Mus musculus: one gene and its partner. The protein of the gene in region 2 purifies or fractionates together with the protein of the main gene of each other region. This does not show direct contact. Links are inferred from orthologs where the notes say so. Each region holds a gene or a part of one and is shown on either strand. Other genes may lie near its edges.

What was found.
Region 1: the proteins of Dusp10 (region 2) and Mapk9 purify together in Homo sapiens (affinity purification with mass spectrometry; 3 studies listed by BioGRID and IntAct, with this or other methods). This does not show direct contact. The link is inferred for Mus musculus from reciprocal best matches to the Homo sapiens genes DUSP10 and MAPK9.

What each region holds. Positions count from the first base shown.
Region 1 is NC_000077.6:49,877,624-49,881,275, forward strand, and holds part of Mapk9 (mitogen-activated protein kinase 9), read left to right. Parts: intron 1-607; coding exon 608-790; intron 791-2,078; coding exon 2,079-2,203; intron 2,204-3,595; coding exon 3,596-3,652. UniProt on the Homo sapiens protein: Serine/threonine-protein kinase involved in various processes such as cell proliferation, differentiation, migration, transformation and programmed cell death.
Region 2 is NC_000067.6:184,072,229-184,076,136, reverse strand, and holds the end of Dusp10 (dual specificity protein phosphatase 10), read right to left. Parts: intron 1,880-3,908; coding exon 1,614-1,879; 3' UTR 501-1,613; downstream 1-500. UniProt on the Homo sapiens protein: Protein phosphatase involved in the inactivation of MAP kinases. Has a specificity for the MAPK11/MAPK12/MAPK13/MAPK14 subfamily. It preferably dephosphorylates p38.

The sequences.
Region 1 (3,652 bases), on a different chromosome or scaffold from region 2:
AGAAAGAACACATTACTAGATGCTGAAGGGATGGACTGCTGCCAAGAGAAACAGAATGGCCTCTGAAACATCATTGTCTAAGGCAGTTTCAGGAGGGAGTGTGGTCTGAGATAGGCCAGAACCCAAGCCCCTCCCCTCTCCATGCTTCCCTTCCTTGGACAGCCTGTCTCACAGGCTCTGCTGCCCAGCTGTGAGAGAGGTCAGATTGATTCATTTAGAGAGAGACCTGTAAATCTCAGGTAGCTTTAGTAGGAACATTGATTTCAGTTTGCTTATGTGATATTTATTTTCTGTTTAATCATTTATCTCATAGGTTAAATCATTTGTCATAATTTTATTTTGAATTATAATAGGAAAACATAGATTATGTTGATTTAATGAACCATGATCATACTTTTTAAGATTCAGAGTATAAGAGTTTTTGTTAATGGATTTAGAAATCCAAACCTTATTTAAGTCTTATTCCAAAATGTTTCTGCGGATCCTCTAGGATGGCCTAGTTACTTACTTGTTCATAGATATGTTAGAACTTTCCTTTGCATGAGAGGACTGTATGTATTATGACTATGAAGCATTTTAGTTGTATTTTCCTCAAGAGAATCCTTAGATATTGATCAATGGAATAAAGTTATTGAACAGCTAGGAACACCATCCGCAGAGTTCATGAAGAAACTTCAGCCAACTGTAAGGAATTATGTGGAAAACAGACCAAAGTACCCTGGAATCAAGTTTGAAGAGCTCTTTCCAGATTGGATATTTCCGTCAGAATCTGAGAGAGACAAAATAAAAAGTAAGGCACTCTTTTATCTCGCACTTGTTTCTCTAGCTCTTAACTCTAAAGTCCGTGTATGTCAAGAGGTGCAGTAATGGAAACCCTGAAATAGAGGCTCTCAGAGTCTGACATTCAAAGGCACCACAGAGGGAATGCTTTAAAGGACAAAAGTCTTGACCTTGCTAAAACATTGTCACTAAATACCCAGAGCAGTCTAGAAACCCCTTAGGTTACGCAGTGAGTGGGAAAACACTTGCCTGCAAGTGTGAGGATTTGAGCTTGTCTCCCCAGCATGACTCAAAGCACAAGTGTGGCTGCCTGTGCCTGTGACCCACACTCTGGGGTGGAGAGCAGTGGTCCTGGAAGCTTGGTGACAGCCAGTCTAGGGGAACTGGGTGCTTCTAGTTCAGTGAGAGACCCTGTTATAACAGAAGGAGGGGAAGAACAATAAGGCAAGACAGCCAACTTCCCCTCTAGCCTCAGAGTACATCTTACACTCAAACATTCATGTGCATATATCATACACGTTCACGCACACACATAAGACCCATATTGTGATGTCACCAATCTGAATTCAAAACAATTTCAAATATAAAGAATACTTCAATAAGGATTCTAGACAGAAACCATTGAGTGTGGCCCAGTGGGAAAGGCCCTCACTGTCCTAATGTGTCCTTCCTAGAATGTGGTCACCTGAGAAAAAACAATAGCTTTGCTGTCCTCCACACCGGGGTGAGCAGCACCTTGGTCACAAAAACCCCAGCTTTTCTTTGTGAACTTTTCATTGCTGAGACCTTGCTGAGGCTTCTTATTACGTTAATTAGCTTCTTGATTTTTTTCTTGGCTACTAACCTCTAGATTAAAAACAAAAGCACTGTTTACAGCTAGGCAAAGCAGTGGTCCCTGTGAGGCTATACTCTGGGACTGTGGGTTACTCAGAAGGTTTTAAATTTGTTCTAATGTAACACAAAGAATAATACTCCTGATACTTCATGTCCATACTCCTGGCAACACCATCCTAAGAGAGGTGCTTGCTACCTACTGTACTGTGGCTTCATAGCTTCAGGTCATCTGGACACTGGTCTGAGGTTACCTAGAACCCCCACCTCACATGCTAAAAGCCTGGTTTGTAATAGTGGCCATTGGACTTTTAAAGGTTGTGAGCCGTGTTGATCTTGAAACTCTTAAACATTTTCTGAAGTCAGCATGTCTCTTTACTGTCCATACGCTCACATTTGATTCTTTATTGTGTGGCTTCCTCTTTTCCACGGTAGCAACATAAGTACATCATTTGTTTACATCCTAGCAAGTCAAGCCAGAGATCTGTTATCAAAAATGCTAGTGATTGATCCAGACAAGCGGATCTCTGTGGACGAAGCCTTGCGCCACCCGTATATTACTGTTTGGTATGACCCCGCTGAAGCAGAAGCGGTAAGTTCTCTGGAAAAAACGTCTGCGTAGAGGGCTCACTTTAAAATACTGGGCCCACTGTCTTTGGATCTTCCTTCTGTTGGTCCAGAATGGCTACATGAGGATAGCAAGTTGTTACTTTTAGGGCCCTGACTTCAAAAATAGAAACCTTGCTACCTGAGGCCTAGGTTGGCCCCTCTCTTGGCACTGCTGCTGGGGCTGAAGCTGCAGAGCTCAGGAGTGCACTGTGGTGGATGTTGGCCTTATGTTTATAAAGCTGATGTGTAATAATAACTTAGGAAGCATCTGCTCATGCCTGGCACTGGGCCATGAGCTTTGCTTACATCTTAGTCAGAGCCTCAAGTCAGAGAACCTAAGCAGCCTTCCCAAGTGACACATTAGCTCACATCTCCCCACCACATCTGGGCATCTCACCCTCTTAAGTTTTCTTCACAGCATCCCTTGTAGATGTCCTTTAGTTATGAGTAAAATACTAACACAGTGGGTGTTCACTTCATGCCAGCTGGGGAGCACTGTTGTAGCCTGGGTATAGATGTAACTGCCATTGTACTGTTGTGTTACATCAAAAGAATCAGGTTTATGAGCAGCCAGGCTATGGAATGTTCCATTCGCGAGCTGCTGGCTTGGGCATGGGTGTCCTGTCAGGAAGAACTGTGAACTGGAAGTATATTCTAGGAAAGTACCACACCTCCCTCAGCCCCCACGCAGTTGACCTCAGAGCTGCCTATTGTTAGTAAGTTTGTGATTCCATTTGGGCTATGTCTGCAGAACATTTTGAGGTCATGTGATGTACTGGCTAGTTTTGTGTCAACTTGACACAGGCTGCAGGTATCACAGAGAAAGGAGCTTCAGTTGAGGAAATGCCTCCATGAGATCCAACTGTAAGGCATTTTCTCAATTGTTGATCAAGGGGGAAAGGCCCCTTGTGGGTGGTGCCATCTCTGGGCTGGTAGTCTTGGGTTCTATAAGAGAGCAGGCTGAGCAAGCCAGGGGAAGCAAGCCAGTAAGGAACATCCCTCCATGGCCTCTGCATCAGCTCCTGCTTTCTGACCTGCTTGAGTTCCAGTCCTGACTTCCTTGGTGATGAACAAGCAGTATGGAATTGTAAGCTGAATAAACCCTTTCCTCCCCAACTTGCTTTTTGGTCATGATGTTTGTGCAGGAATAGAAACCCTGACTAAGACATGTGATGATTGAGATTTATTATTGATGCTTGCTTTTGGTTAACTTTCTGTAACTGTTTTTTAAACTGATAAAATATTCTTTCAAAATAAACATCTAGAACATGTTAACTAAACTAAATCCATAAGTAGACTCGAAACATTCTAAGTAGCGTTATCTTCCGAGCATGGCCCATTAGTTTTGAGCTATCGACCTGACATGTCGTTTCAGCCACCACCTCAAATTTATGATGCCCAGTTGGAAGAAAGAGAGCATGCGATTGAAGAG
Region 2 (3,908 bases):
CTTCCCACACCACTTCCAACTGTCTGTGGGCTGAATAGCCAGCACTGTCAAAGTCCGTGTGCACACAGAGCTGATTTCTACTGACTGGGAAAAACACTGGAAGAGTACATCTTTTGCAGCTTGTACTATTGTTACTATAGGGTGAATGTCCCTAAAAAGTGTCATGTGAGCTAGTGTCAATTGAGACGGGACTGTGAAAACCATACAAGGCAGATTGTCACTGATATTTACATGTAGTTACCAGGGAGACAACTGTATATTCTAAATCCTCGGCTTGGCTGTGATTTGGTTATCAGGTCTGGCGGAAGCTGCTCAATCATGAGTCTGCTGTCTCATAGAAAGAGGATGGGGAGGAAGCAGAGGACCGCATCAGTGCTGGGATCCTTAGCCTCCCTCCGTGAGCGGTCCCTCCCGCTTTACACTCTCATCCCCATCTCTTTATACAAACCCGTGCTGAGAGGTATGAGCCTAACCAGAGAAGACAGGCACGTACAAAGAATGACACATCCCCAAACGAGGTTCATTTATATAATGAAAATAAATTCTTACACCATCAACAAAAACACACCAAGGATATTTTTTTTTTGCGAAAAATATTTTTTAAATAAATTTTTGTTTTTTTTTTTGTTTTGTTTTTTTACATTCTGATATACATATGTAACAAGGTGTATGGCACTGTAACCAGAATCAAATCAAAAGAAAGACAAATAAAAGGGGATGAGGAAGAAAGGGGGGGGGGAGAAGGAGAAAGGAGGGAGGGGAAGCCACTGGTACTGTTGAATGCCTGTCTCCAACGCCACTCCTCACTCAGCTGCCAGCTCTCCCTCAGCTGCACACTCCAAACACCATTTTTATTGCACGAGTGCCAGCAAAGGCACATGGTAGAATGGTCAGTTTCCTTCTGCCAAACAAACAAACAAACAAACAAACAAAAAGTTCTCTCAGACCCACAGAAGGGGAAAAGATATCCGGAGCATAGAACACACAAAACCGACACTAGCCTGTCTCCCCAGAGAAGGTGTGAGGCGAGCCGAGTCCACTGAGCTTGCCGGCCCTTTCTTCACACCAGTGAGCACAACTGGGCACGGTTTGGCAGGGTTTGCTTTTGACATGGTTGTGCAGTCAGTTCCAGGTCTGGAGTCTTTTCCATTTCCTTTTGGTTCTTTGTAATTGAAGGGTGGTATCTTCGGTCTATGAGCCCGCACAGACTATTTACTCAAAACTCTACAATAAGCTTACAAGGGAAACTGGGAAGAAACAAGTTTTATAATATTTTTATTTGTTGGCTTAAAAAAACAAAACAAAACAAAAAAGACCTCTTTAACCTAACTGCAATACCAGTTTAAGAGAAGTGGGTCTCATTCGCATCAAAAGTTACAGTCTTCTTACACTTATTAAAAATAGAGTCTTTAGACAAGTTTGTTTACTTTCACAAACACTCCCAACCTTAAAAAAAAAGAGAGAAAGAAAGAGAAAGAAAAGAAGAAAAAGAAAAGAAAAGAAAAGAAGAGAAGAGAAAAGAAAAGGAAAGGAAAGAAGAGCGACAAGCTAGAATCCACCTTCCCTCCTTTTCGTCTCCTGAGAGAGCACAGCCCTTTCCGTCCTGCCCGTTGTCACACAACTGTCTCCATGCCCATGAGCTTTGGTGTAAGGATTCTTGGCGTCACGCCGTTGTTTAGGTCTTCCTCAAATTCCAGCAACTGCCCCATGAAGTTGAGGTTCGGGGAAATAATTGGTCGTTTGCCTTTGACGAATTTGTAAGCGTCAGTCATGGTCATCCGTGTGTGCTTCATCAAGTAGGCGATGACGATGGTGGCGGATCGGGACACGCCGGCCTGGCAGTGGATGAGAAGGCCCTTCCCACACTGGTGAGCTTCCTCTGTGGGACAGAGAGACAAGTGGTAAGAAAGGGGGACAGAGGAAGCTTAACTTCTGCCTGAGTCAACAGTGGTTCCTTTTGCATAGAGAGAATGGATTTCAATGGTTCCAAAGCATGATGGATTCTACATGTTCAAATCTCGAGCTATAGAGTTGGGCCACAATCAGAAATTGGAGCTGTTGGTCTACATTTTCTTAAATTATTAAAAAAAGAAAAATCAGGGTTGGTCCACATGCCACTGTGTGCATAGAGAGGTCAGCAGACAACTGGTAAGGGTCAGTTCTGTTTTTCCACAATATGAATTAGTAGAAACTGGATGCAGGGTGTCAGTCTTGGCAGCAAGTACCTTATTTTATTCACTGAGCCATCTCATTGGCCCTTTACTGTTTTGAGGGGGGAAGGGTATGTGTGTGTATGTATATGTGTGTGTATAATGTACATGTGGGTATGGATGCATGTTTGCATAAGTGCTGATGCATGTTCACGTGTGTCTGTGGAAGACCATGTTCCGTATCATGTGTCTACTTGATCACCCTCCATGTTACACGACAGAGCATCTCTTGCTGGATCTGGAGCTCATTATTTCTGCTGGTCAGGATAGCCAGCTTGCTCTGGGGCACCCCATCTCAGTCTCTTGTGCCATGGGATTCCAGGCAAGCTGCTATAGCTATGTGGCTTTTACGTGAGTTGTGGGGATCCTAGCCCCGATTCTCACGCTTGTGTCATGAGTGCTTCACTGTTGAACCATCTGCCCAGTCCCCTACAGCTCTACATTTAGAAAGATAGAGCAAGGAAGTCATGGGTGGGAAAAGCACATGTCACAGGAGATGGGGAAGGCAGAAGCTATACCTACAACAGGACACACTCAGGAGAAGCAAGCTACTGTGCACCCCATAGTTATCGGACCTCTTTCTGGACAACCTTGTTCCTTTTCTATTTTCTTAACACTGGCATAAAGGGAAGAAAAAGTAGGGAAAGGAGGAGAGAAGGAATGGAGATTATGCCATGCACAGAAATGGGCATGTGAAAAAGGTCTTCTGATTAACAATGTTCATACCACTTTCCAGGCTATATGACTACATGATACATGCAGTGCTATTAGCAATATCTTCCACATGCTAGACACACACACACACACACACACACACACACACACACCTTTATCCTACAGATTGTTCTCTATAAGAGTTAGCATTTAATGCATGGCGTTTTACTAAAACTTCATAGAAGGGAAGGGTTAAAGGTCAGCTGGAAAGTTCCTATACTCAGCTTCTCATCAGAGATGCCAACTGTCATCAGTGAGGCCTGTAGAGTACTGGTCTACCTCATGGCCCTCGGCAGCAGTGTTTCACTCCTCACTTCCACATACCCTGACCCTCCATGGCCATCATCTGGAAGGCACGGTTCCCAAGTAGCTCAGAATAGAGAGCACCAGAAAGTGTTGAGTTTCATATTAAAAGCTTTGGATGCCTGTGAGCACTGGACAACAGTTTTTGTGACATTTCTAGATTAAAACACATCCCCCAGGAAGTGTCCCCAGAGGAATGCAGGTCAATGATAAGGTAGAGGAGAAGGGAGTAAAGAGACTTGTTCCTTAGCTTTAATCACCCACACTGGCTGCTTCCCAGTAGACAAAGAAACAAACAGGATGTAACTATCTCTCTCACCAGTCTGTAGACAAGCTTGCTTTGAGAGACCCAAGAGTAATGCTTCAGGAAAGTCTCCCTTTGTGAACACTAAATGACCTCCCACACCAAGGCCGTAGGACATGGTGGGTGAGAATGAGTGAGGTGCACCCTGAGTGTGACCATCTGTGCCACTAACACACTAGCTGAGTGACCTTGTGAGTCCTTTGACCCCCCCAGAACTTCAGTCTTCCTGCTCGGATAATGCAAAGGACACTAGCTAGCCAGCCTCTGGATCTTTGGAGATGAAGTCATTTGATTCTGGGGTTAAACTGGCATTGTTAAACTCTAAACCTGAACATTGCTTAGTTTATATTAAACTCAGGTGAATGTTATTATGCTGT